Linked DNA regions of Elephas maximus indicus. The protein of the gene in region 1 interacts with the protein of each later gene in a biochemical or structural test. Links are inferred from orthologs where the notes say so. Each region holds a gene or a part of one and is shown on either strand. Other genes may lie near its edges. The genes, in order: CDC25C, CHEK2, PLK3 and MARK3.

The links.
Region 2: of the proteins of CDC25C (region 1) and CHEK2, one has a biochemical effect on the other in vitro, tested with the Homo sapiens proteins (14 studies listed by BioGRID). The link is inferred for Elephas maximus indicus from reciprocal best matches to the Homo sapiens genes CDC25C and CHEK2.
Region 3: of the proteins of CDC25C (region 1) and PLK3, one has a biochemical effect on the other in vitro, tested with the Homo sapiens proteins (2 studies listed by BioGRID, with this or other methods). The link is inferred for Elephas maximus indicus from reciprocal best matches to the Homo sapiens genes CDC25C and PLK3.
Region 4: of the proteins of CDC25C (region 1) and MARK3, one has a biochemical effect on the other in vitro, tested with the Homo sapiens proteins (3 studies listed by BioGRID, with this or other methods). The link is inferred for Elephas maximus indicus from reciprocal best matches to the Homo sapiens genes CDC25C and MARK3.

Annotation. Positions count from the first base shown.
Region 1 is NC_064820.1:151,423,366-151,430,791, forward strand, and holds the start of CDC25C (M-phase inducer phosphatase 3), read right to left. Parts: upstream 3,011-7,426; 5' UTR 2,475-3,010; intron 2,298-2,474; exon of another isoform or gene 2,291-2,297; 5' UTR 2,286-2,290; coding exon 2,092-2,285; intron 238-2,091; coding exon 134-237; intron 1-133. UniProt on the Homo sapiens protein: Functions as a dosage-dependent inducer in mitotic control. Tyrosine protein phosphatase required for progression of the cell cycle. When phosphorylated, highly effective in activating G2 cells into prophase.
Region 2 is NC_064840.1:27,875,192-27,882,187, reverse strand, and holds the start of CHEK2 (serine/threonine-protein kinase Chk2), read right to left. Parts: upstream 3,022-6,996; 5' UTR 2,956-3,021; intron 700-2,955; 5' UTR 694-699; coding exon 309-693; intron 1-308. Other genes in the region: iron-sulfur cluster co-chaperone protein HscB, read left to right, coding at 3,323-3,561, 4,734-4,830, 5,551-5,640, 6,234-6,375. UniProt on the Homo sapiens protein: Serine/threonine-protein kinase which is required for checkpoint-mediated cell cycle arrest, activation of DNA repair and apoptosis in response to the presence of DNA double-strand breaks.
Region 3 is NC_064821.1:87,161,103-87,168,269, reverse strand, and holds the start of PLK3 (serine/threonine-protein kinase PLK3), read right to left. Parts: upstream 3,009-7,167; 5' UTR 2,883-3,008; coding exon 2,673-2,882; intron 2,507-2,672; coding exon 2,399-2,506; intron 2,297-2,398; coding exon 2,180-2,296; intron 2,035-2,179; coding exon 1,905-2,034; intron 1,819-1,904; coding exon 1,731-1,818; intron 909-1,730; coding exon 813-908; intron 725-812; coding exon 526-724; intron 410-525; coding exon 283-409; intron 81-282; coding exon 1-80. UniProt on the Homo sapiens protein: Serine/threonine-protein kinase involved in cell cycle regulation, response to stress and Golgi disassembly. Polo-like kinases act by binding and phosphorylating proteins that are already phosphorylated on a specific motif recognized by the POLO box domains.
Region 4 is NC_064828.1:117,666,871-117,674,045, forward strand, and holds the start of MARK3 (MAP/microtubule affinity-regulating kinase 3), read left to right. Parts: upstream 1-4,175; 5' UTR 4,176-4,696; coding exon 4,697-4,747; intron 4,748-7,175. Other genes in the region: uncharacterized protein LOC126083725, read right to left, coding at 3,505-4,160. UniProt on the Homo sapiens protein: Serine/threonine-protein kinase. Involved in the specific phosphorylation of microtubule-associated proteins for MAP2 and MAP4. Phosphorylates the microtubule-associated protein MAPT/TAU. Phosphorylates CDC25C on 'Ser-216'.

The DNA.
Region 1 (7,426 bases):
TACCCACACATTTCCAACTTCAAGGCTCGCTACACTCTTTCATCATCTTCCATCTCTATCCTACTAGCCTGTTCTCTCCCTTATGTTATTCTTCCCACTGAGGCCATTATGGCTGTTATTCCCTTCTCCCTACCGGTTTTATCAAAGTCTGAAGAGGTGGTAAGCTGAGTGGCAGACATGGCAGACATCTCCCCACTGCTAAGATTCGAAAGATCAAGGCAACGTTTTGGGGTTCCTCTGTCGAGACATAATAGAACATCAAAATTCCCATTAGGTTATAACATCCTTAAATGAAAAAAGCATAACATCCTCATTTGCAACACTCCTCAATAACTGTTACAAAAATCTGAACAGTGTCCAAATAAATCTAGTAACTTTTTGGGAAACATTTCAGATTAATAATGAAACAAGAAGCCCTGGTGGCACAGTGGTTAATCTAACTGTGCCAAATGAAAGGTCAGAGGTTCAAACCCACCAGCCAATCGGTGGGAGACAGTCTACTTCCATGAAGATTACAGTCTTGGAAATCGTATGGGGGATTTCTAATCTACTCCATTTTAGAGGGTCAGTTTGAGTCAGAATTGACTTGATGGCAATTTTTTTTTTTAATTGTGCTTTAGGCGAAAGTTTACAGAGGAAATTAGTTTCTCATTAAATAATATATACATTGTTTTGTAACATTGGTTGCCAAACCCAGGATGTGTCAACCCTCTCCCCTTCTATACCCCAGGTTCCCTATTTCCATTCATCAGTTTTCCTGTCCCTTCCTGCCTCCTTGTCTTTGCTTTTGGGCTGGTAAGCCCATTTAGTCTCACGTACATGGTTGAACTATGAAACATGTTCCTCATATGTGTTATTGTTTATTTTACAGGCCTATCTATTCATTTTCCTCAAAAATCCTGTGGTTGAAGGAGCAGAGCGTGTCCTTTGGACCAGGGATCCCTGTGCCTGAGAAGCTCCTTGACCAGGGGAAGAGTGAAGACAAGGACCTTCCTCCAGAGCCAACAGAGAGAGAGAACCTTCCCCTGGAGCTGACGCCCTGAATTTGGACTTTTAGCCTACTTTACTGTGAGGAAATAAATTTCTCTTTGTTAAAGTAAGAAAAAAAAAAAAGTCTTCTGGTTGAAAGGTGAACTTCAGGACTGAGTTAAAATAGTGTCCAGGGGCCATATTCTCTGGGTTTCTTCAGTCTGTCAGACCAGTTAGTTTGGTCTTTTTTTGTGAGTTTGAATTTTGTTCTACATTTTTCTCCCGATCTATTCAGGACTGTGTATTGTGATCCCTGTCTGAGTGGTCAGTGGTGGTAGCCAGGCACCACGTAGTTGTGTTGGACTCAGTCTGGTGGAGGCCTGTGGTAGTTGTGATCCATTAGTACAGCAATGGGTTTTTTGGTCTGGTAATAATGGGAACTAGGCTGAGAAAAATGTTTCACCTTTTCTTTACTCCAATAACCTGTATCTCAATTTCCCCTCACCAACATATTGAGACAGGATAATTTTTTTTTTTAATTGAGGCCCAAAGTTTATTGATCTACAGGTCTTGATCTTATGTCCTCTCCCCTGTGCACCATGAGGACACAGACTTGATTCCTCCCTGGGTTCTGTAGTACTTTTCAGCTCTATAAATCTTCAACTTCATTTGGTAGCTGAGGCATCTGGACACGAACATCGCCAGAATTTAAAGTGCAAGAACACACACACATATTGATTCCGACTCATAGCGACTCTATAGGCCAGAGGAGAACTGCCCCATAGCGTTACCAAGGAGCGGTAGATGGATGTGAATTGCTGACCTTTTGGTTAGTGGCCGAACCACTGTGCCACCAGGGCTCCAAGTACAAGTACGATAACACTAATAATAAAGTGTGCAAAGACTTCCCCAGACATCACGTCATTAGATTCTCACCCAATCCTGGTAAAATAGGAAGAAACTGTTATTCCCAGATCACTGAAAAGAAGCCTGAGATTCAAAAGGGTCACAGTTAGTCAAGTGGCAGAGGTGAGACTTAGACCCTTTTCCTAGGGCCAGGATAATTTATAAACAAACTAGAAAAGCAAGAGAAATAAAGTGTGACTATAAAAGTGAACTTACCCAGACAAAATGCTTAGGTTTCCAGAATCAACCAGGAGTTTGTCCACCGGAGTTCTAGGGAGACCTGGACACTTGGTAAAGGAAGTCTCTCTCTCCAGCAGCAGGTTTAACCTCTTCCTTTGATTGGATCTAAAACTGGGTCCTGAACCAGCGCCTTCCTCCTCTCTTGTGGATGAGAAGGGATTTGCAGACATGGGCTCTAAGTTCTCACCAAGAAAAAATTAAACCAATATAAGAGGACAAGGTCATCTATGTAGGTGCATCACTGATACATCACAGCTTTCACAACAACCTCCCTAACCCTTTCCAGCAGCGGTCAAGCAAATCAGTATTGGAGTACGGGCATACCCAAACGGTGATCTTTTTGGTGGATCCTAACTTACCGAGAGGCAACTCAGGGCTTTAAAGATGGGATGAAGAAAGGCCTTTGATTTGTTCCCGGCCACACAGCTAAGCGAGTCCTAACCGGAACTCAGGTCTCCTAATTCGCGATAATGCCTATCAGGTCCTCCCGCCTTAGGTTTGCGGGGTCCCGGCTGGACCCGGAGGAGACAATGGGGTCTCCGTGACTCCGTGGCGTAGATGGCTCCGGGCCTAGGTCTTTTGGGTCCTGAGCCTTGTCTTCGCGAGGAAAGGATCGGCCACAAGCGAAGCCTCGAGCAGAATTAAAGAAAAGAACAAACTGGGGAAAAGAGGCGACTAGCCAGACTATTTTGCTCTTCAGCTGGGTAGGCGGGGGCCAGGCTTTGCAAGTTCTCTCGGCAGAATGGAAGTTACAGTCTCAGTGCAAGAACACCAACAGCCGTAGACCTTGACCATTCAAACCTTCCGCCCTCCCCAATAACCTATCCACGCTTGCCTCTAAACTGCGTCAGCCGATCTCGGCGTGCCCGCCTAGACGTCCTCAGCCAATCGTACATCACCTCTGGGCGTGCGCTTGCTCTGGAAGAGCAATATTTGCCCCGCCCCTGGATCAGAGCAGCCCGGCGATTGGCCCACCAGCTTTAGACAGGAAAAAAAAAAAAAAAAAGCTGGATAAGCCCCGCCCCACAGGGAACCTGGAGCATTATTGGCCCTCCCTTTGACCAATCGCCACATCCTTCCTTCAGTCTGCCCGCAGCCTCACCAACCCCGGGAGATTTAAATTGCGACCACTCGCTGGCCTAATAACACGAGCGTTTTTTTTTTTAGTTTAGATGGGAGAGTTTGGAGAGCGTCTCTTTTTTCTTGCTTTTTTTCTCGTGCTGTTACGCGGACCTTTCCCTTCTAGCTTTTCTAGCTTTCCGCTGGCGATGGAGCATTTGCCGCCGGCGTGGCAGGTGTTGGGAAGAGACAGGTGTGTGTGTTTATGCAGAGCGGCGTCAGCCCCTCCCAAGAGTTTCGGTGACCCTTTTTAGGGGTAGCATCTGAGACTCTATGTAGGGTAAACAGGAATTCCTTTGCTGGGAGAATAGGAAAGTTGAATAATTTCTTGGCATAATCCTTATCACAGTTCAAAGAATTCAGTCTTTGTTATGGAAATTTGTCTTGACTAAGTGGTATTAAAGGAGCTTTGGTGGCATAATACGGAGAGCCTTGGTGACGCAGTGGTTAAAAGCTTGGCTGCTAACCAAAAGGTCGGCAGTTCGAATCCACCAGCCGCTCCCTTGGGAACCCTATGGGGCAGTTCTACTCTGTTCTACGGCGTCGCATGAGTCGGAATCACTCCACGGCAACGGGTTTCCTTCTTTTTGGTTGGTGGCGCAATGGTTAAGCGCCTGGCTGCTAATGAGAAGGTCGGGGGTTTGAACCTAAATCTTTAGGCAGTCTGCTCCCTGAAGATTTCAGCCTAAGAAACCCTGTGAGGCAGTTCTGTTCTGTCATATAGGGTCGCTATGAGTTGGAATCCAGTCGACAGTACACAACAGCTGATACTAAGTTATTCATAATTTGGGGGATTTGCTTTTAAATAATGGGGTAGGGAAAACCGGTGTGTATACATGAAACAAATTGGCCATGAGTGATGGGTGATTGGTACACGACGCCCACTAGTACTTGTCAAAGTTTAATGTGCATTCTAACCACCTGGGATCTTGTTAAAATGCAGATTCTGACTCCCTAAGTCTGGGTTGGGGTCCAAGATTCTGCACTGCTAACAAGGTCTTAGGTAATGCTGATGCAGCTAATCCTAGGACTATACTTTGAGTAGCATTTAAAAAAGAAAAAACATTGCTGTTGAGTGGATTCCGACGCGTAGACCCTACAGGGCAAAGTAAAACTGCCCCATAGGGTTTCCAAGAAGTGGCTGGTGGATTCAAACTGCCCCAAGGCATTATGCTATTCTCTTCACTGCTGTGTATTATTTGAAATTTCCCATAAAAGTTTAAAATAAACTTGTAAGCTCTTGAAAATGCAAGAGCCCCAAATACTGATTCAATAGGTCTGAAATGGGGCCCAGGAATGATCAAGGCCCCCAGGTGCTACCAAAGCAGATGGTTCGCAGACCACACTTTGAGAAACATTAAGTCAGAAATGCAACTTTATCTTTGAGAAAACAATAAGTCAGAAATACCACATTTATCTGGTGTCAGAATCTTGGTGGTGGTGGTGGCTGAGAAGCATTGTAGTCAGCTGGTTACTCCCTGATACTCCCTTCATCTGTAGAATCTGCTTCTCTAGAAAGGAGATGTGTGAGGAGTCTTTGTCTTCTGGGATACAGATGGTGAATGCAGGAGTCAGCACAGAGTCACGCCATGCCAGGTGAGTTTGCAAATCAGGCTGGGAATTAAGAGAGTATGGGATGAGTTGGTTCTGCTTTGGTGACTATAAATCACACTTTGTGGGGCACTGTGTACTTCCCCACAGTAGAGACATATGACATTGTCCTGCAGCGACGGCAAAAGCAGATAGATTATGGCAAAAGCACACCTGGCTACCAGGGCTTTCTGCAGCAGGTCTCCACATGAGTCTCATTGTGGGGTGGTCACAACAAGGGTGCCCACCAAGTTGCTTTGGTTCAGAGGATGGAAAGATACTAGGATCTGAGTGTTTTGAATGTGCTCACAAAGTTGCAGAACTACTAAATTTCTTGTAATCTAGCCCTAATATTTCCAAGGTTTTTTTTTTTTTCAAGTGGAACATACTTGGTCCATTGGCTTTTTTAAAAAATTGATTGTGGTGAGATATATATTTCAACAATTTTCTGTCTACAATTCACTGACATTAATTACATTCACCATGTTGTGCAACAATCATCATGTTTCCAATTTTTTTCACAGTCTTTAACAAAAATTCTGTATCTCTTAATATCCCCGATTTTCCTCTCCCACCCGCCCCTCCATGTGACTTTTTAAAGCTCTATCTGTGTTTCCTAATGAGGTGGTTTTCCTTCCAACCATTTTTACCATCGTCTTCTTATGCCTCCTCTTGACTTGGTAATTGCAACATACTTGCCTAAGTACATGTAAATTTACACACACTCATAGAAATTAAATGCATGAAAATGAACATTTGTTTTAAAGGGAAGTCAAATATTTTATGTCTACCTTGATTTCCAAGAATATATCTAATTTACCCTTTCCAGAAGAAAGGCTATTAGTGAGGCTGAAAGTTTGGTGTATAATCTGAAGATCTACTTTTTCTATTTGATTGAGGACACTGGTCTTACTCATTCTCAGGGAATTTCTAACTAGGCTCCTGATTCATTGTGATAAGTAGTGAGCTGTGCCCCCTGCTATACAGGGCCCCCTTTCATATTGACCTCAGCCTGACCCACATTTGTTGTTGCCAGGGCACAGCGACAGCCAGGGCTTCAACCTCAGACGCCAAACAAGAACAGACAGTACAGCCATCGCTCCTGGGATGCCCAGAACAGGCACTGGAGAAGAGCCTTGCATTCCTGGGATCCGCCCAGTCAGCCCCTTCAGGGCAGGGCTGCTCTGGGGTGTGCTGACTATTTCTGGTTCCTTCAGTGAGTGGTGGGCTGAGCCCCACATCTCCCCACTTTGCAGAGGTTTATCTTTCACTGCGTGAAAAGGGAGGGTCTGAATAAAAGGCATGTTCCTCTGACTCTGCTGCCTTCCTAGACAGGGAATGGAGAGTCTCTTAGAGCCAATGGACTCCACCCCTTTGGACAATCTACTGGATGACTGGCTCCAGGCCCTGAAACTCTTCGAGAATCTGGATGGAGACCAGGTAGTATACTCTGCTGAAACTCCCTGGAGCAGGGTCAGAGATGAGGTCTAGCCCAAGGGCACAATTAAGACGAAGTTCAAGGTAGCATCCCAAGAACAAAAGGAAGCAGCTGGAAAAAAAAATAACAGGTCATGACTTAAAAACTTGAGAACTAAGAGAAGGGTATAAGGAGATTTAAAAGGAGCCCTGGTGGGACAATGGTTAAGTGCTTGGCTGCTAACCTAAAGGTTGGTTATTCAAACCCACCCAGTGGCTCCATGGGAGACAGTCTGCTTCCATAAAGATTACAGCCTTGGAAACCCTATAGAGCAATTCCATTCTGTCACATGTGGTCACTATGAGTCGAAATCGACTCGATGGCACCTAACAAGAAGGAGATTTAACTATAGTTAGTAATGGAGGTGGAGCTTTGGGCTATACTGAGTGCTATTTTACCCTTGATGAAAGAGGGGGTATAGCCTTCCTTTGAGGCCTGAAATCTGCTCAGTTTTTGTTTGATTTTGTTTTTTAACGTCTCAAATTCTTTCAATGTTTTACAAGTTAGCCAATGCTAACTTAACTTCTTTTACTCAGTCATTTAACTTTTGTAAGCACGGATAATTTAAAAAAAAAAGTGGGGGGTATATAGCCTAGTGCTTTACATAACCAGGGCTTTAGAGGCTCATAATTGGTTCTTTGCCCACCACTTGGGCACTCAACCTCTTGGGCTGTTTATTGTCTCATTTGGTGATTGTAAGCAAAAATGAGAATACATTATTTAAATTATATAGCACCGTGCCTGGCACATATAAGTGCTTCACAGCTATTACTGAAAACAGTGTCTCCTATGCTTCATGGTCCCTGCCTCTGCTTCTTTTTCACCAAGGGGAAATGTGCATGGCAAGGTATATCCCCCTCCCACTTTCTTATAAATACCTCACTTTTCCTTTATTCTTTTTCAGTTAGCTGACTTTGTGGCTCCTGCCTCCTCCCTTCCATGGCTCAATGAGGAAGATCCCTACAATGACTACTTTCTAGCTGAACACAGCTAATTTACCTGTACCACTCCTGAGTGGGGCACAAAATATTTACAGAAAACAGATGTCTTTCAGGGGACTTACTTGCATTACTACCACTTTCCAATCAATTAGAAATCTAAAACTCTACCCTACAAAGGGATCAC
Region 2 (6,996 bases), on another chromosome or scaffold:
GATTCAATGAGAAATGTTTACAAGTTTGCATGAAACTGCAGTTTTCTGGGGAGAGTCCACAGCTCTGTTCAAGAACCTCAGCCCAACAGCACAGCACAAATGCCCAAAAAGTATCTGCTGTAAGAATAAATAAAGGGAATCCAAAAGGGGTTAAGAGCTAATGTACGACCCAACACTGCTTCCTCAGTTTCATCTTCCATCACCATCAAACTCCAGAATCACTCCAGGAGCGACTCGAGCCTTCTACTACAACTTACTGTAGTTGTCTTTCTGAATGAAACATTGCATCATATAACAAAGACGCTTACCGAGATTGGAGAATCCATCCTGAAGGGCCCATAATCGAGCCCAGGGGGCCGGGATGGGCTCCTCTGGTTCTTGGTCCTCGGGAATAGAGTAGAGTTCCTGAGTGGACACTGTGTCTACGGAACTCAGCGTCCCGGAGCTGGAGTGAGAGGACTGACTGGATGTGTGTACTGTGCCAGAGGAGGAGCCAGATGTGTTCTGGGACTGCGAAGAGCCGTGGGGCTGTGAGGAAAGGCCAGGGGACTGCAAGGAGCTGCTGTGCGACTGCCAGGAGGAGGAGAAGGCGGGCTGAGAGGAGGTGGCGGACTGAGAGGAGGTGGCGCCTTGAGACTGTGAGGAGGTGCCGTCTTGGGACTGCTGACAATCCATATCTGCCTCTCGAGACATCAGGACCTCAAAAAGCAAGTGTTCACCAATAAGATAAGTTTCAAGGAACAAAACTTAAAGTTCAAGAGTGAAAGGTGGGCAAATTACAATGGTTTTAAATTAAAAAAAAAAAAGACAGGATACACATGCTCTGCAAAAATTAAAATGCTACGTCTGCTGTGAGCACTATGCTCTTTTAAGATCTATCTACACGAGATCAAATTGTCAATAGCAACTTGAAAGGTTAGACAGGAAATTTAGGAGGCAATGAGTTTGTTAGTGTGGGAGGAACGAAAATGGCTGCACCACTCAAAGAATGTAATCAATGTAGATTTGTAAATGTAGAAGCTGTTGAATTGGTGTATGTCCTACTGTGTATATTCTCCACAACAAAAATAAGACAAATTATTTTAAAAAGTTAAAATGCTAACAATTTAGACCAATAGTTTTTGAGTTGGGGGGAATGGGGTCAAAGGCTCAAAAGCTTACATTCCCTCAATTTTTAAAAATTAGAAATGAAACCTAAACCCTATTCATTAATACAACTAACACTACACTTAAATTTCATATATATTTTGAGAGGGAAAGAAGGCGGGGAACTGTCAGGTGGACAAAGGTAGAAGCTGAGCAAAGAGAAACCATACAATGGCTAGGGTTGTCATTGACATAAAACACATCGGATGTCTCTCCTTCACCCTGACCCAGGCCTACTCCAGAAGGACAGAGACCATATCCAGTTTGTTCATTCCAGATCCCCTGGCACCTAACTTGGGTCAGGCCACTTAAAGAAACAGAGCACAAACCAGACTGCTCTAAACAACTCCACCTAGCTCTTCTGATGCTAAGTAACTATGGGTTCATCTTTTCAGCATCCCAAAAGGCCTTCCATTCTGGACAGAATTCTGAACCATTCTCTGAGTCACAGATACCATAACAGAGGCTCCCTTTCTTTAGAATTAACTTGATGGATAGTTATACTCAGACAACAGAACCTCCTGTAAAATCAAAGTAACTTGCAAGCCTGATCCAATTTGACTTTTTTTTTTTAATGGAAGTATTTCCTTTCCCCACATTCAGGTTAATCCTTCAGGAGAATGTTGTAAACAATGTTACTGCATTTACACAGCTTTCAAGATACAAAGGTCCTGAGGAGCTTTTCTTAAAACACAACAGGAAGGTGATGCCAGAGCTGAGTCTGCCACTCCAGAACCTGCTGGTCTAAAACTGCCTCAGCCAGGTTGGGTCCTTCTGTAGCTTTCTGAACAAGACTTCTTCGTCTGCATCTAGTCCCCGCCCTTGGTAAGTGGAGAAAGAAAGAGCGTGTCAAGAGGTGGCAGCCATCATTTGCTTAGGACAAGGGTCCACCCACTCAGACAAAAATAAAGAGCTGGGACCACCCCGGCCTCAGCAATAGTGAGAAGGTATGGTGGAGTTGCTAGAGGTGTAGAGCCTTGGAGTCAGAGGCCTGCCTCAAATCTTTGCATGACACTGGGCAGGTCCCAATCTCTCTGAGTCTCAGTTTACTCATATGAAAAAAGCAAATAAATAGTGAGGATTAAATGAAGTGATGCATGTAATGCTAGCCCTCTGCTCTCCCCACCTCCCCCTCCACCCCAGTAATGCATGATAACTGGGAGCTACTTATATCAGCAGGCCATGCGGAGTGGGGTGTGAAAGGCCACAATAACCACAGCAAAACCCATGACTGTGAACAGACTTCCAGTCCCGAAGAATCCTACAGCGAGAAAAAAGCCTCACATATGCAACACAATCTTTTTTCATATAAGAAACTGAGTCTCAAAGACGTCTCGTGCTGGCTGCCCATTCCCTGCCACCCCATCCCTCACACTTAAGGCCACTCGCAAGGCATCCGCTACACACACACACATAGGGCAGTGGGTTTCTTGTTCCTGCAGCGCATAGCAGCTAAAGTGGGTTCGCCAAAAATACTTACGATATTGAATTTAAATCATGGCAGTGATCATTAACATTCATAGAACTCCTTACAAAGCAACTTCGCTGTGATTTTTAAGAGCATAAACTTTTTAACTTCCCACCTTCTAGGTCTAGGCCAGTAGCAGCTTGTAAGTCACGAGGGAATGTAAACTTCACCTCCAAGTTTATCTACAAAGAAGGAAGAGTCGCCCACGTACTCGCCTCCCCCCCCCCCCGGGAGCTCAAATTCGGCAAAGCGGAAGCTCCAGAGATTCTGCTCGCATAAGACCCTGAGGACGGGATTCGAACCCCTAAAACACCCAAAAAAGTTTCCCCACTAAGACTCACCCTGCGAGCCCACCTGGAGTCGCGCACACTCGCCGCAGCCGACTCGCGCACACTCGCCGCAGCCGCAGCCGCAGCCAGCGGAGTGGCGCTAAAGATGTAATACAAACTCCTTCCTCAGCCAATCAAAAACACCCTCCGCCGCCCTGGGCCAATGAGGAGAAGCGGATGGGACCTTGGAAGTGTAGCCTCATTGCCTGCTGGGAGTTGTAGTTTAGATCTCAAAGCGGGACACAGAATCCAGGTTCCCCCCCTCCCCAAGGTGATCCCGCCCCCTCAGTTCCCACAGCCAATCAGCAGCACTAGTTAGGTCGCTCGCTAACTCCCCTTTCCCCCACAGGTGACCCAGGCGAGATAGGCCGTGGGCCAGATGTGGGGCGGGAGAGCTGGGGCCTTGCTCCGGGTGTGGGGGTTGAGGCCAGCATGGAGCCCCAGGAGGAGACCACTAAGCTGCAATGCTGCTTCGCAGGCCCGAAGCAACTCCCCGCGATGTTGGAAGTGCGGCGGCAGCCCAGGGGGCCCCACAGGGGAGGACATACTCTTCTGCCCGCAGTGCCGCGCGTTGCAGCCACCCGACCCCACTCGAGATTACTTCAGCCTCATGGATTGGTACGGGCGGCGGTTTTGGGAAAGGGGTCGAGACCATCGAGACGTGACGAACTGGTCAGCTAGAATGGTGGGCCGACCAGGCTTGGAGAAGAGGGGCCCTGAAAGATGGTTGGGGGCGGAGCCTGGGAGAATGGAGGTTGGGAAGTGGCCTGAGGGAGAGAAAATTAAGGGGCGGGGTCTGAGGGAAGGGCCGGAGAGATGAGGGATGGAGACTTGAGGGGGGGACTTGAGGTGCGAAGCCTGAGAGGAGAAATTGAGGGCTGGACCTAGGACAAGGGAGACCTGGGGAGCAGAGTAAGAAAGGTTAAAGTTGGGTTGAAACTCTTAAAGAAAGGAATACTAATGTATAGTCCAAGTTAAGGGAGTAAAAACCAAAAAAACACTTGCCATGGAGTGGATCTTGAATCATAGTGATCTTACAGAGTAGAACTGACCCATAAGGCAGTTCTGCAAATCTTTCTCCCACAGAGAGGCCGGTGGGCTTGAACCACCAACCTTTGGGTTAGCAGCCAAGCTTTTAGCCAGTGCACCAATAGGGATCTTTAAGGGAGTAAAAGCACAGAAAAACTAGTATTGTGGGCAGGATTTAAAGGAAAAGTGGGAATTGAAGGTGGAGGGTCCCAGAAATGGGTGTTTTTTCCCATTTTCCTCTGAAATTGAGCTTGGAGAGGTGATGAAATGTGGGTGGAGATGGACTGGTTAGGTGATAAGGCAGACTCTAGGAACTGATAGCTAAAATGAGTTGGATTAAAGGAAAGTGGGAGATCTAGGAGAGAGAAAGTTTGGGTGAAGTTCAGCATTGCCCCTTCCCTCAACTCCAGGATCTGCCCCCACAGGTCACTGAGCACTTATTATGGGCTGCAATGACACTACCCTTTAATTTCTTCAGTGTGCCAATTTTGTTCCCACTCCAGGGCCTTTGCACTTGTGGTTCCTTTTGACTGGATGGCTCTTTCCTTTGATATTTGAATACTCCTCCACAAATTCAGGTCTCCCCTCAAATGTCATCTCTTCATCCACTCCATTCACCACTCTCTTTGACCCAGTTCTGTTTTCATTCATAGCACCAACCACTATTTGAAACCATCCCCCATGAGAGCAGGAACCAGGCTTATAGAAGACAAATCTTTAATTATTTGTTCCATGAATTTCATCTACTGGTTTTCTTCCAGCAACCGTTCCTTCAGAGTTGACACCATGAAGCTCCAGCATAGGTACCAGCAACTACAGCGTCTCGTTCATCCAGATTTCTTCAGCCAGAGGTCTCAGGTAGTCTATTGGCTACCCCCAATCATCCCAAACACACATGTACACACTAGATGGGTGGCAGTGGCCTTGTGGTTATGTAATTATCACGGAACAAGCCGGACAACCAGCTCTACCCTATGGCAGCCTGACCTCAGCCAGCCAGGCCTTGGAGCTGTCATGCACTCACAGCTTTTATCTAACTTCCCAGCAGACTAAAACCAATCAGTTGAAAATTAAGACAGCTCATCCGACACCAGTTCTATTTTGGCTACTTCCTGAGGTCTCCACCCATCAGCCTTTTTTTTTTTTAATTATGGTAAAAATATACATAATAAAACATATGCCACTTCAACAGTTTTTACATGTATAATTCAGTAACACTGATTATATTCTTTATGTTTTACAACCATTATCACTATCCTTTTCCAAATTATTCCACTACAATTAACATAAACGCAGTGCCCTCTAAGCAGTAACTCCCTTTTCTCCCCTTCCCTCCCACCTCTAGTAACCACTATATTTGCCTCTTTCATATAAGTCAGATCATACGGTATTTGCCCTTTTATGACTGACTTGCTTCACTCAGCATAATGTTTTCAAGGTTCATCCATGCTGTGACATGCATCAGGACTTTCATTTCTTTTTATGGCCCAGTAACCCATCAGCCTTTTTAAAACAGTTTGTGAATGTAAGATGGTTAATTTGGATGATAATAAGACTGCCTTCATCTCCCACTAACAGACTGAAAAGGACTTCTCAGTGAAGCATTCGACCCTGGTGAATGATGCCTATAAGACCCTTCTGGCACCCCTAAGCAGGGGACTATACCTTGTAAGGTGATTTCCCAACTCTTTTATGCGTGACTGCCTGGTGCTTATTGTGTTGTGGGACACCTGCTCCCCTCTAATCAGAGAAAAGCGCTTGAGACCTGAGCTGATCCAGAGACCCAATATTTAGCCTCAAAGATACTACACGAGTATCATTTTCTCTGAGTATTCTCTGCAAATGTTACTTGCCCCAGTTGCTTTTTTTTCTTTTCTTTTTTTTTGACACCATTTTCTATAAATTTCAAAGATTTGATGATGACTTTTAATGAAGGGTAATTTTTGGTTTCTTTTGGGAGAAGTCTTAAACTCCAGAAAATTTTAGAACTTAATAGAATCTTTACAAACATTTAGTTCAACCTCTGAGTAGAAGAGTAACTCCCCAGGGTCACACAGGTCCAAGGAGCACAGAGAGGGATCCTGTCCCAGCACTCTGTCTCGGCCCAGGCTTTTGGCACCTACTCTTAACGCTTTCGTTATTAGGACAGCTCGAGTTTTCCCCATGAGCGATATTATGTTCTAAGGTGTGAATAGGAATTACAGGACTCTGGCCATAGTTTCCTAAACAGAACTTATTTTGTCTGCTTTATACCTCAATAGCTAAAACTCCGTGGAATAGAGATTCCCGAAGGGACAGATGAAATGGACAAGCAATTCCTCGTGGAAATAATGGAAATCAATGAAAAACTCGCAGAAGCTCAACATGAAGGTGCTGTCAATGAGATTGAATCCGTTGTCGCAGGTAAAAGATGAAACGGTGCCAAGGCACTTTGTTATGGATATATACCTAGGGTTAAGTGAAAGACGAGTATAGAGAGAAAATTACTGGTTATCATGATGATTCAGGGAATTTTTTTTCTTGACCATACAGAAACCAATGTTGTCTGGAGGTTAAACTTGCAACGTCCCTCTGGAAAAAAAATACCAAACCCTCTGCCATCAAGTCAATTCTGACTCATAGTGGCCCTATAAAAGGCAGCCTTAAATCAAGAATGTAATACTATCGGCTGCTAAGCAAAAGGTTGGTGGTTCAAACTCACCCAACCGCTCCACAGGAGAAAGACCTGGAAATCTGCTCCCATAAAGACTACAGCCTAGAAAACTCTATGGAGCAGTTCTACTCTGTCATATGGGATCACTATGAGTAGAAATCGACTCTGTGGCACCCAACAACAACAGTATTTTGCAGATTGGAATGTTCCTTCCCACCCGTGATGTCATTTAGATACTGTGATTATCTCTGACAGGGAAAATGTGTCTTAGAATTTCATGGAATTTCCCAAGGTCACACAGCAGATATGTAGCAAAGCAAAGATTGAGACCCTGTTCTTCAGACCCCATATAGCTTCGTTTTCTACTTTAT
Region 3 (7,167 bases), on another chromosome or scaffold:
ATCCTGTTGGCCAAGGGATGTCCGCACGAGGCCGCTCACCAAACAGGAGACCTCGTCCCGCTCCTCAGGATGGTTCTTGCCTTGGGGGGGCAGGGGGTTAGGGAGATATAGCCCTCAGTGTCTTGCTCTGCCCAGGCCCCCTGCTTCCCACAGGGATGACACAGAGATAGGCACACCCAAGTGCTCGTACAACACATGCTCTCCCTAGGATGTTCACAGGTACCACACATGTGTAACAGCCCCCTACTCTATACCCACAACCCACTGACACCCCAGACTCACTCTTGTTCTTCTTCCTGCCAAAGAGGCTCTTGGTAACCTTGGCAAAGAGACTCCTGGCCGGGTTGGGGGGTGTCAGGTCTGGGACAGTCATGCAGCTAGTGACAGGAAGCTTGTCAGGGGTGTAGCCCTGGAGAAGGGAGCCATGTGAGAAGAGACGAGAGGCTCCAGGGGTCCTCTCACTTGCCCCCATTAAATCTTCTGAGGACAGGTAGACTGGACTTTGGTGTCTAGTGAGCCACAGACCTTGGTAAAGAAGTCATGGCGCAAGATCTGGTCGATCGAGGGGCGGTCTCGGGGCGAGGCCCGTAGAATGGCAGTCAGGAGCTGCCGGGCAGGCAGTGAAAGGCTAGCAGGCAGCGTGTAGTGAACCTGCTTGATGCAGCGGTATGTCTCCTTCAGGTCAGCTGTCTCAAAGGGGGGGCTCCCACACAGCAGTGTATACCTGTGGGACAGGGGAAAGAGGTCAGGAGTAAAGTGGAGGGTATGCCCCACCCTTCCACCTACCTGTCTGCCTCTGTCCTGGGACTCACATGACACAGCCCAGCGACCACACATCTGCCTCGGGGCCATGGCCCTGTCTCAGCAACACTTCTGGAGCCACATAGTTGGGGGTGCCACAGATGGTCCTGAAAGGGGGCAAGGAGGAGGGGAAGGCTCAGCCCCAGCTCTGCAGTCCCCCTATCCCTGCCCCCGCTGTGAGTCCAGACAAAGCAGCTGCCTGTCACCAAAGGCAAGAGAGCTTCTGCTTGTCCTGGGACAATGGATGCTGGGTATAGCAGCTGAGTCCCTGCCCACCCGCCTGGCCCAGCTGCTCAGCTGCTCTGCAGGACAGGGGGAGCCCCTGACCCTTCTCCAGGGTCAACATAGAGGGCCCATCACTGATTCCTCCTCCCCCTGCTGCCGTCTGTCAGGCACCCATACAGGCTGTCACCTCCCACGGTCTGTGCTACACACACACCAACACCAGCTGTCACATTCCCCCATAAGCACTCATCTCCCACATGTTATCTGTGTCATGCACACCCAGTCGTCGTGGCCATATCAGGGTCTTCTTATATACCTACCGGGCGTCACATTCTGCCATTCCCATACTCTGTCTCTCTCTCTCCCACACACACAGATACACACACTGCCTGTGGCACCTTCCCCTTGTCCACTCACAGGGTCAGTCAGACACCTTCAAGAACCCTTACACCTCCATCTGTCTCAGGAAGTCAGAGTCATCTACCCCATCTGTGTCACACACCCATAGGGCCCTCACCCCCACTGCCAGTCCCAGTAACCCAGGCTGCCACCTCCACCTTCATATGTAATCAGCTCATCACCCCCTTCCCCATCTATCATATGCACACATCAGGCAGTCACCTTGCCTCCTACACACACACACTCACTGTCGCACACATCATCTGTGTCACATATAGATCGAGGCCACTCATCTCGACACTCACTTCTTCCTCTGCTCTGGGGGCTCCAACCGGGCAGCCAGTCCAAAATCCCCCACCTTCAGCTCCATGTTCTCAGTGATGAAAAAATTTCCTGGATGGTGGAAGAGAGATGTGTCAGACTCCTTCCTGCCTCCCAACCCTTCCCACCCTCCTATCCTGCTGGCCATGGAGTCTCACCCAGCTTGAGATCCCGGTGCAAGATCCCCCGCTGGTGCAGGTACTTGAGGCCTGAAAGGATCTGCCTTAGGTAGTAACGCACCTCTGGCTCCAAAAGGGTGTGTCGGGCCTTCCAGATGTGGGCTAGGGACTGGGGAGAGCCACTGTCTCAGTCCCTGGCCCTCCCTGCCTGACCCTTCCCCCATCCATGCTCCCTGAGGAAGAGACAGGGCCCCAGCTTTGGGTTTTAAGGTCCCTTTTCCTGCCCCATCTCCACCTGCATCACTTCTCCTCACCTTTCGGCTGCACAGCTCCAGGAAAATGTATATGTTGTCAGCATCCTCAAAGTGGTGTGAGAAACGCACGATGTGGCGGTGCTGCAGATCTCGGTGCAGCTCAATCTCGTTTAGGATCTGCGATGGGGGCACGGGAGGTTGTCATGCTTCAAGGGTCCCCGCCCTCCCACCACCACCACCACCACCACCACCACCCTGCGTCCTCCGGCCAGGACGCACCTTCTCGCGCTGATGCGGCTTGGCGACGCGGCTCTGCGGGATGACTTTGACCGCGTAGGCGCTGCCAGTCTCTGTGTCAGTGGCCTCGTAGCAGCGAGCGAAGCCCCCCTATTAGGAGAGGGCATCAGACACGGCGCTCACAGGGTGTCCGGGTCTGGCCCGAACACTTCCTGGAGCCGGGGACAAGCGCCCCCGCCAGGCCCGGCGCCGGAAAAAAGGACGGCGAGGACCCTCTTCCCTGTCAGCATCACCTCCCGGGCAGCCGCCAGCCCACCTTGCCCAACAGGCGGCCTTTGAAGTAGGTGCGGCCGCTGCGCGGGTCCGTGATGAGACGCCCAGGGTCCGGCGCCGGTGCCCCGGCCGGCACCTCCAGCTCAGGTCCCGGCACCGCACTTCGAGGCGGCCCGGGCCCGGCGGGGGACGAGGGCGGGGCGGCAGCGCGCGGGAAGGGGCGCTGGGACAGGAAGCCGGCGGCGGGCTCCATGCGGCGGCGCGTCGCAGCGCGGGCGCGGCTCGGTCTCGGTTCCGCCCGGCCAGGGCCGCGCGTGGGCGCTGCCTGGATTCGCTACACTGCGCTGGCGCCCGAGGGAGCCCGGCGTTTTTATCAATGAACGCCGGCCCCCTTCCCCGTGTCCCGTCACCAGGAGCCCCGCCCCCTTCCTGGCGGCGAGTCACCGGGAAGCCGCGCCCCTTCTCGGGCTTACGTCAACAAGAAGCTCCGCCTCCCACCCCACACACCTCGACGCCCCGCCTCCTGCTCAAGCTTTAAAGGCACAGCCATACTGCTAGTCACCTACTGTGCCGGCGCGCCCCGGCTGTGGGGCCTGTTTCTCCGCCCCCCACCCACCCCGCCCCTGAGAACTTTGAGCCCCCTAATGGGGGCTACTTTCTTCTCCCATCCTTCGGGGCGTATGCTGAAGTCCGAGTGGGAGCCCGGCACCTAGGCCGTCTCCCCAGCAACTGGACCAGCGTTCCAGGCGGAAGGGGAGAGGCAGGGGTGGCGCTCGTTTTCGCCGGGGCGCTTCACCAATACTCCCCTTTCAGGCACGAGATGGTGAGCGCGTCCGGCGCCCTCGGTCGGAGCCTCCAGGACTAGCTCAGTGCTGGCCCCTTTAGGAACCGAGAGGGATTGCACACTCCCGAGCCCGACTTGCCAGGCCCAGGGGCAGCTATGCTGCGCTTTGGGTTGGGCTGGGTATCCCAAGCCTTTACCATGCACCGCGTCACATCATCTGCTACCCATGTCCACACTCTTGAGGGACGAATCCCAGGCTCCAGCAGGGTTCCTTATTCCCTTCCCCTGAAAACACCCATTGTCCTGGTTCAGTAACCAGAAAGCCAAAAAGTTAAGAAAGGGGAACTCACCTTTCTCAGATGCTAGCGATGGGCAACTGGGCAGCTGGTGCCAGCACCATCTGGACCCTTAGACACCTACTCAATGCTCATCTTTCCAGGGCCAGAGACAAATGTGGGGTCTTAACCTCTCTGGCGTGTTTGTCACAGGATCATCAACCTCTGGCTTTGTAGTCCCTCTCACCTCCCTGCCCTCACACTGAACCATCCAATCAATAACTCATGAATAAGCCATTCGGTCCCCAAAGACTCAGTGAAAATACCAGCACACGGTTCGAATAAGACTGGCCAAGGTTGCAGCCCTCATTTATTTAACATTCTGCTTGATGGAAACAGACAATGTTGTTGTTAGGTGCCCTCCAGTCAGATCCAACTCATAGCAACCCTATGTACAACAGCACGAAACACTGCCCGGTCCTGCACCATCCTCACAATCGTTGTTATGCTTGAGCCCATTGTTGCAGCCACTGTGTTAATCCATCTTGTTGAGGGCCTTCCCCTTTATCGATGACCCTCTACCAAGCATGATGTTCTTCTCCAGGGACTGATCCCTCCTTATAACATGTCCAAAGTACGTGAGACTCATTCTTGGCATCCTTGCTTCTAAGGAGCATTCTGGTTGTGCTTCTTCTAAGACAGGTTTGTTTGTTCTTCCGGCAGTTCATTGTATATTCAATATTCTTCACCAACACCACAATTCAAAGGCATCAATTCTTTGGTCTCCCTTATTCATTGTCCAGCCTTCACATGCATATGAGGCAACTGAAAACACCATGGCTTGGGTCAGGCACACCTTAGCCCTCAAAGTGACATTTTTGCTTCTTACCACGTTAAAGAAGCCTTTTGCAGCAGATTTACCCAATTATCAGTACAATGCATCCTTTGATCTCTTGACTGCTGCTTCCGTGAGTGTTGATTGTGGATCCAAGTAATACAAAATCCTTGATAACTTCAATCTTTTTTGCTTATTGGTCCAGTTGTGAGGATTTTTGTTTTCTTTATGTTGAGGTGTAATCCATACTGAAGGCTGGAGTCTTTGATCTTCATCAGTAAGTGCTTCAAGCCCTCTACACTTCAGCAAGCAAAGTTATTTCATCTGCATAATGCAGGTTGTTAATGTCTCCCTCCAATCCTAATGCCCCTTCTTCATATGGTCCACCTTCTACAGATTATGTGCTCAGCATACAGATTGAATAAATATGGTGAAAGGATACAACCCTTACAAACCTTTCTTGACTTTAAACCACAAAGTATCCCTTTGTCCTGTTTGAATGACTGCCTCTTGATCTATGTACAGGCTCCTCACGAGCACAGTTAAGGGTTCTGAAATTACCATTCTTTGCAATGTTATCCATTATTTGTTATGATCCACACAGTTGAATGCCTTTGCATAGTCAATAAAACACAGGTACACATCTCTCTGGTGTTCTCTGCTTTCAGCCAGGATCCATCAGCAATGGTATCCCTGGTTCCACATCCTCTTCTAAATCTGGCTTCAATTTCTGGCAGTTCTTTGTTGATGTACTCCCGCAGCTGCTTTTGAATAATCTTCAGCAAAATTTTACTTGAGTGTGATATTAATAATATTATTCAATAATTTCCTTATTCAGTTGGATCACTTTTCTTTGGAATAGGCATAAATATGGACCTCTTCCAGTCAGTTGGCCGGGTAACTGTCTTCCAAATTTCTTGGCATAGACGAGTGCGCACTTCCAACACTAAATCTGTTTGTTGAAATGATTCAGTTGCTATTCTGTCAATTCCTGGAGCCTTGTTTTTTGCCAGTGCCTTCAGTGCAGCTTTGTCCTCTTCCTTCAGGACCATTGGTTCCTGATCATATGCTACCTCCTGAAATGGTTGAATGTTGACCAATTCTTTTTGGTATAGTGACTCTGTGTATTCCTTCCATTTTCTTTTGATGATTCCTGTGTTGTTTAATATTTTCCTTGTAGAATCCTTCAACATGCAATTCGAGGCTTGAATATTTTCTTCAGTTCTTTCAGCTTGAGAAATACCAAGTGTGTTCTTTCCTTTTGGTTTTCTAACTCCAGTTCTTTGCACATGTCATTACAGTACTTTACTTTGTCATCTCGAGCTGCCCTTTGAAATCTTCTGTTCAGCTCTTTTACTTCATTTCTTCCATTTGCTTTAGTGATGTTCAAGAGCGAGTTTCAGAGTCTCTTCTGACATCCATTTTGTTCTTTTCTTTCTTTCCTGTCTTTTGAATGGCCTCTTGCTTCCTTCATGTATGATGTCCTTGATGTCATTCCACAACTTGTCTGGTCTTTGGTCATTAGTGTTCGACACATCAAATCTATTCTTGAGATGATTTCTAAATTCAGATGGGATATACTCAAGGTCATTTCTAATTTTCTCCAGCTTTGAACTTGCATATGAGCAGCTGATGGTCTGTTCCGCAGTCAGCCCCTGGCGTTGTTCTGACTGATGATATTGAGCTTTTCCATCATCTCTTTCCCCAGATGTAGTCGATTTGATTCCTGTGTATTCCATCTGGTGAGGCCCACATGTACAGTCATCATTTATGTTGCTGAAAAAAGGTATTTGCAATGAAGAAGTCGTTGGTCTTGCAAAATTCTATCATGTGACCTCTGATATAATTTCTGTCACCAAGGCCATATTTTCCAACTATCAGTCCTTCTTTTTTGTTTCCACTTTTCAATCACCAGTAATTACCAATGCATCCTGATTGCATGTTTGATCAATTTCAGAGTGAAGAAGTTTGTAAAAATCTTCAGTTTCTTCATCTTTGACCTTAGTGGTGGGTGTATAAATTTGAATAATTGTCATATTAACTGGTTGGTCTTCCTCGTAGGCGTATGGATATTATCCTATCACTGACAGCATTGTACTTCAGAATAGATCTTAAAATGTTCTTTTTGACAATGAATGCAGTGTCTTTACTCTTCAAGTTGTCATTCAGCATAGTAGACCATATATATCATTGTCCAATTTGAAATGGCCAAGACCAGTCCATTTCAGTTCACTAATGCCTAGGATATCAATGTTTCTGTGTTCCATTTCTTTTTTGATGATCTCCAATTTTCCTAGATTCATACTTAGTACATTCCACATTCCAGTTATTAATGGATGTTTGCAGCTGTTTCTTCTCATTTTGAGTTGTGCCACACAGCAAATGAAGGTCCTGAAAGCTTGACTCCATCCATGTCAGTAAGGTCGACTCACTTTGACGAGGCAGCTCTTCCCCAGTCGTCCTTTTAGTGCCTTCCAACCTGAGGGACTCATCATCTGGCACTATATCAAACAATGTTCCGCTGCTATTCATAAGGTTTTCACTGGCTAATTCTTTTCAGACGTAGACCACCAGGTGTTTCTTCCCAGCCTGTCTTAGTCTGGAAGCTCAGCTGAAATCTGTACACCATGGGTGACCCTGCTGG
Region 4 (7,175 bases), on another chromosome or scaffold:
ACAAATTTCTTGGCATAGACGAGTGAGCACTTCCAGCGTTGCATGCGTTTGTTGGAACATCTCAATTGGTATTCTGTCAGTTCCTGAAGCCTTGTTTTTCACCAATGCCTTCAGTGCAGCTTGGACTTCTTCCTTCAATACTATCGTTCTTGATCGTATACTACCTCCCGAAATGGCTGAAGGTTGACCAATTCTTTTTGGTATAGTGACTCTGTATTCTTCCAACTTCTTTTGATACTTCCTGTGTCATTCAATATTTTGCCTGTAGAATCCTTCAATATAAAACCAGAAACCCAGTGCCTTCAAGTCGATTCCGACTCATAGCGACCTTCAATATAGTAGGACTAAATTATCTTAGCTTCTGATGGCTCACATTGATTTCTACTTGACATGAAAGCAAGTGCTGCCTACACATATACACAGCTTGGCGTATTTACTCACACTGTTATAGCGTAGGGAACCCAAGACAGAACCTGTTTTAACATGAAGACAGGAGACAAGGAATATGAAAAGAGACAGAGGCATCCCAAGGATGACTTCCAGAACTTGCCACTCCTTCTAGACCACAGATGCACATAATTCATGGTCACAATGGGTCCATCTGACAGGCACAGAGCACTGCTTTCCTTTTCTTTTTGTTTTTGCATAATATAGACACTTTGCTCCCCATTTTCAGCTCTTCAGAGTGTAATCACTGTCATTTCACGTAAGTGCAGTGAAGAGTGTTTCTTTAAGTCTAGCCTTTATGCAAAACAGAAGCTGTGTGAGCTAAGTATGTCAGATTCATTTCCTAACTTTTGGATTCATCAACTCATTAGCCAATAGTTAGCTTTGGTCAGAAGAGCACCTGGGCTGAAGCTTCACCTCCAGCTATTTCTCTGCCCAACGTGGAGTGTTCTGATTGTTCAAATGCTTTCTCTCAGCTCTGCCTGAGGCTGAAACTCATTTGTGTGTCTTTTGGATGTTTTCCCAGCTGACCTAAGGGACATTCCTGTCATCAGAATCAGACATGGCTGCAATTTGGCAGAACCTGGTGCCCTGCTATGTGCAAATGTGGCCCAGCTCCTGCCTGCCCACCAGTCACACCTCTTACTTTTTTTTTTGGTTTGTTTTTTTAATTGTATTTTAGATGAAGGTTTACAAAGCAAATTAGTTTCTCATTAAACAATTAATACATATTGTTTTGAGATACTGGTTGCTGTCTTAGTCATCCAGTACTGCTATACAGAAATACCATGTGGATGGTTTCAACAAAAAGAAGTTTATTCTCTCACAATCTAGTAGGGTCGAAGTCCAAATTCAGGGTGTCACCTCCAGAGGAAGGCTTTCTGTCTCTGTCAGCTCTGGAGGAAGGTCCTTGTCATCAGTCTTCCCCTGGTCTAGGAGCTTCTCTGTGCAGCAACCCCGGGGTTCAAAGGACATGCTCTCTCTGCTCACTTCTTTCTTTTATATCTCAAAAGAGATTGGCTTAAAACACAATCTAATCCTGTAGCTTGAGTCCTGCCTCATTAACATAACTGCCACTAATCCTATCTCATTAACATCATAGAGGTAGGATTTACAACACATAGGAAAATTATATCAAATGACAAAATGGTGGACAATCACACAAGACTGGGAATCATGGCCTAGCCAGATTGATACACATATTTTTGGAGGACACAATTCAATCATGACAGTTGCCAACTCCATGATACGTCAACATTCTCCCCTTCTTGACCTTGGGTTCCCTATTACCAGCTTTCCTGTCCCCTCCTGTCTTCTAGTTCTGTCCCTGGGCTGGTGTGCCCATTTAGTTTCATTTTGTTTTATGGGCTATCTTTGGCTGAAGGGTGAACCACAGGAGTTACTTCAGTGCTGAGTTAAAAGGATGTTCAGGGGCCATACTCTCAAGGTTTCTCCAGTCTCTGTCAGACTAGTAAGTCTGGTCTTTTTTGTGAGTTAGAATTTTGTTCTACATTTTTCTCCAGCTCTGTCCGGGACCCTCTATTGTGATCTCTGTCAGAGCAGTCGGTGCTGGTAGCCAGGCACCATCTAGTCGTGCTGGACTCAGTCCGGTGGAGGCCGTGGTAGTTGTGGTCCGTTAGTCCTTTGGACTAATCTTTCCCTTGTGTCTTTGGTTTTCTTCATCCTCCCTTGCTCCAGACAGGGTAAGATCAGTGGAGTATCTTAGACGGCTGCTCACAGGCTTTTAAGACTCCAGACACTGCTCACCAAAGTAGAATGCAGAACATTTTCTTTATAAACTGTTATGCCAATTGAGCTAGATGTCCCCTCAGACATTCACCTCCAATCCTCCTGATGCTCATGCAAACCCAGCCGTTCTCCCTCACCTCTGTACCTCTGTGCAGGCCAGCCCTCTGCTTGGAATGCCCCCCCGCCCCCAGCCACCCCAGCCTGGCTAACTCTACTCATGCGTTCAGATTCAGCACAAATATCCTCTCCTTCAGGAAGCCTTCCCAAACTGAAGCCCCCAAGCTGGGCTCAGTGTCCCTGCTTGCAGCTCCCACAACATTTGTGCTCGCCCCCATCTTATCTCAGCCCACATTTCAGGTGAACTGTTATGAAGCACATGTTTTATTGTTGTTAGCTGCTGTGAGCCGGCCCCTGAGTCATGGGGACCCCATGTACAACAGAACTAAATGCTGTCTGGGTTCTGTGACATCCCCGTGATTGGCTGTGGATCACACTGTTGTTATCCACAGGGTTTTCACTGGCTGATTTTCCGGAAGTAGACCTCCAGGTCTTTTCTCCTAGCCCATCTTAATCTGGAAGCTCCGATGAGACCTGTTCAGCGTTATAGCAACTTGCAAGCCTCCACTGAGACGGGTAGTGGCTGTGTATGAGGTGGACTGGCTGGGAATTGAACTTGGATCTCTCATGGAAGAAGCACACATTTAAACTAACAGGAATTCAAGTCTCTGTGCTTGGCCAAATAGGGGAAAGAGAATATCGACTTAAAGGGGGGACCCTGGCTCCGTAAGCACGCACCAGAGGTGACACGGGTGGTCTAAATGCATCTCAGTCCTCACGTATTTTACACTGGGAGCGTCTGGCTTTTCTGGGAGTGATTCTGGTATTTAAAGGCATACACTCGTATCTCTCACAGGGCAGGAAATGCCCCAGACATAGGAAGACGGTTCAGATCCTGGGGGACCAAAAAGGAAAAGACACATCCACCGCAAGGGCTCATCTACTATCAAAGCTTTAAGAACTGGGTTCTAATCCCAACTCTGCCACTTACCAACTTTGGTACTTTGGTCAAGTCACTGTAACCCCTGGAACTTGGATCGCATTGTGCGTGTGCCCGTCTTACACGGTTACCCTGACCTTAAACGAGGTAACAAACGTAATGTATCCACCAGGTACACTCTCCAAAACAGTTCGAGTTACCCGAGCACCACCCCCTCTCCCCAGCCCATCCCCTCTCCCTCCTCGGAACCTTGCACCCATGGATTCCACCCACCGCCGGCCAGACCCTGGGCAGAAACACAGGCTACCTACGGAGGCGAGGAGGGCAAAGAAGGTTTCCCGGCATGTCCAGTGCTCCAGCCTGCGGGCGTCCACAGAGCCCCGCCCCAGCCTGGGATCCCGGGACGCTGCCAGTCCTCGCGGCTGGTTATAAATCTCCTGCGGGCTGGAACTAGCGTCCTTGGGGTCCCCACAACTTTCCTCCCGCCCCCTTGAGCCGCCCTTCTTATTGCATTCTTCATCCCGACGGCATTAGCCGGGTCCCTCTCCCTGCAGACTTGCTGCCCTCGGGATGCGCGGATCCTGGCTGGCCTACAGCCTGGACAGACGCGGTGCCCTGCGGCCCCGGCCCTACAATTGCCGCCGTGGCTCGACTCTGCAGCGCAGGCCGGGCATGTGGGCTCCGCGTTTGCACACAGTAGGCGCTGCATCAGCACTGTAAACGCCAGCCCAGCAGTCGGGCTCAGGCCGCCGTCCAGGGCCGTGCCCGGTTCTCCCGGGCCTGCCTGCGTTACCGGCTGTGGGAACCCGTTGCCCGCTGCCGCCGGCGGGGACCCGGCCCACCCGCTTCCTCGCTCAGGGCCGGCCCTGCAGGACCGAGTCGCCCCTAGCAACAGCAGCAGGCCGCTTCCTCGCAGCGCGCTGATTGGCCCAAGTCCGGGAGGCGGCGGCTGCGTCACTTCCGGCATCCGGAGGCAGCAGAGGAAGTCGAGGGGCGGCCATCTTGGGTCTGTGAGGCTCGGTGGTGCCGGCAGCGGCGGCGGCCAGCGGGCGGCGGCTGAGGCGGAAAGCGAGCGGGAGGGAGAAGAGCAGCCGGCGCAGGCCCCTCCTCCGCAGGCCCCTCCATGGTCGGCGCCCGCAGCTCGTGGCGGCCTGTCTCGCGCTCCTCCTGCTCCGCGGCCTCCTCCTGCTCCTCCTCAGGGGCCGCCGGCGGCGCTGTGTGGAGGCCCCGGGGCTGAGGTCCGCGGCGCGACGGGCCGGAGCGCAGGCGGGGGGGCGGGGGCCCGCGGGGCGCCCTGAGGCGCGGGGACGCCGGCTGACCGCCGCCCGCGGGGCGCCTCGCTGCGGCCCCGGGGGAGATGCGCCCCGGGACCCGCCGGGGGACGTCCCGGCCCGGCCTCTAGTCGACCGCCCGCACCGCGGTGACCCGGGACGCTGCCGCCGGCTTCCCGGGGCCGCCCGTGCCGTTTCCACCCCCGCGTCGTGAGAATCCAAGTGCAAGAAGATGTCCACTCGGACCCCGCTGCCGACGGTGAATGAGCGCGACACGGAGAACGTAGGTGTCGGCGTGCGGAGCGGGGCGGGGGCCGGGCCTGGGGGGCGTCGGGCCTGGGGGGGGGGGTCGGGCCGGGGGGGAGCGGGGGCCGAGCGGGGCCGGGCCTGGGGGGCGTCGGGCCTGGGGGGGGGTCGGGCTGGGGGGGAGCGGGGGCCGGGCCGGGGGGCGGGGGCCGAGCGGGGCTGGGCCTGGGGGGGCGTCGGGCCGGGGGGGCGTCGGGCCTGGGGGGGCGGGCAGGCGGGGGCCGCAGACGTGGCGGCGGGGCGGACGGATGGGGGCCGGCGGGACCGAGGCGAATGACGGGCGGCGAGGCTGCTGGAAGCGGAGCCCGGAACGGTGGCGCGGCGGGGGCCCCGCGCTGGCCGGGCGTCCTCGGCTTCCAGGCTCCCGGCCCGGGATTCCCTGGAAGGAGCCTGGGCTTGGTGGGCGCCGGCCGCTCCCTGCCGGGGACGGCGAGTCCCAGGCCGGCGCTGGCCAGGCGCCCCTCCGCTCTGGCTCGCTCGGGGTAAACGAGGCCGGCCCAGCGGTGCTTGTCTGCCGCAAAACGTCGGCCAAACCTGGCCAAGAACCTTCCCCGGTCTTTCGCTGACGGGTGTCAGGAGGAAGTTGCCGGGGAGAAAACGGCCGTGTCTTTTAGGAGAAGTTTCCTTGCTGTGTTTTCATGGTTTCAGCAAGGTCCTGAGACACTGTGGCCTCGCGGTATCAAGTGTCTCGGTTTGAATCGTCAGAAGGCCGCTCGTTTGCTGCTGGTGGCTATCAGATGGTTTCATCTGTTTATGGAAACCGAGGTGGCGAGGATCCCCAGTGATGTACTCATCAACGCGTGGTCTGTAACGCTCTTTGGCCCTGAGGAAGCGGGCGGTCAGGGGTGTGCTTTCCTGCACCTGAGATGCATTAGAAATCTATCTGAGGAGTGAGTCAGAGAAAACCCTGGGTTAGGTGCGTCAGTGAACTCATTTTCTTACCCTCCTTCTTTGAAGCCCTGTTTCTGCCTTGATGTTTTCCTGTTCCTTGACCAGCCTGAAGAGTGGAACAAGCCCAAAAAGTGCATTGATTAGCTTTGATCATTGATCTTCACTCAGAGAAGCAAACCCTTACATTCAACCCGAGCTAGCGGGAGCTCCATCCACACCTTCTAAACTGAAGCCAGACACAGTCATAACACATTTGTAGTGATGACGGATTCACAGCGAATGGGTCTTTTGGACATATACATACCTATTTCACTGTGGGACGTAGAGAGAAGAAATACGTTTATTTTCATTCAGGGACACATGGTTTAGGCAGTGAATATCTCTGATTGTTCTTGACTGACTTTGCACGTTCTTCACCTTGTCCTCTGTTGAATTTGTTGAATCATTTTGTACTATTTTTTGTGTGTCGTTAGGTACTGCTAACTTTATTCTTTAAGAACAACCTAGGGTAAGGAGTGTGTCTTTTTTTATCCTCAGTTTAACATATTTAAAGTTGAAATTTTGACAGTGTTAGGATCAGAGATTTGCAGCGTGTCTTTGCATTAATTCAGCATACCTGTTCCACTTTAACTCTGGCATTGCCGTATTCTGGAAGGAACTCTGTCTCTTTCACAGTAAGAGCCCCAAGTGCCAGTGTTACACCTCAAGTGTGGGCTCTGTAATTGAGTGTACGCTAATGCGCTTCACCCACCATTACTGAGTAGCTAAACATTAGACTTAGTGCCAGTTCAGTGGTGAGGGTACGAGAATGAAGGGAAGTGCTTAGTGTGTTGAGTAGCTCTTCTGTTAAAGTCAGGCTTATTGGGATATAACATTCACCCTTTTTAAGTGTACAGTTTGATGACTTTTAAAGAATGTGTAGTGATGTAACCAGTATCATGGTCCCTTGGGCCCCTTTGCACTCAGTCTCGTCTTCAGATCAACCACTGGCAATCACTGATCTGTTTTCTGTCCTAACAGTCTTGTCCTTTTTACAGTGTCGTGTAAATAGGATCATAGGGTGTGGAATCATTTATATGTGGCTTCTTTCACGTAGCATAAGTTCAAGTTCGTTTCTTTTTATTGCTGAACAGTATTTGGATTTATCTTTGGATATACCTTTTTTTTTTTTAACTCATTTACCAGTTAATGGATTTTTTAGCTATTATGATGAGAGCAGCTTTGCTTTTCTATTTTATGGAAAGACTTTCAACTTTGCTTATCCTAGGAGCCTTATTTGCATTTCTAAAAATTGTATCTATTGTGAAGAATGTTCTTATTAAGAATAGTAGAACGTTCTTAAGAATAGTAAAAGGCAGATAATTTGCAATAAGGATAATACTGGCTTTACTGTATTTTCATTTGATATACAGATGTGAACATCCACCTTTAGGTGATGGGTATATAAAAGTTCACTGTTATCAAGTCATTTTCTAACCCAAAAGGCCTGGTCCAACAATCTGACATGAGAGGAA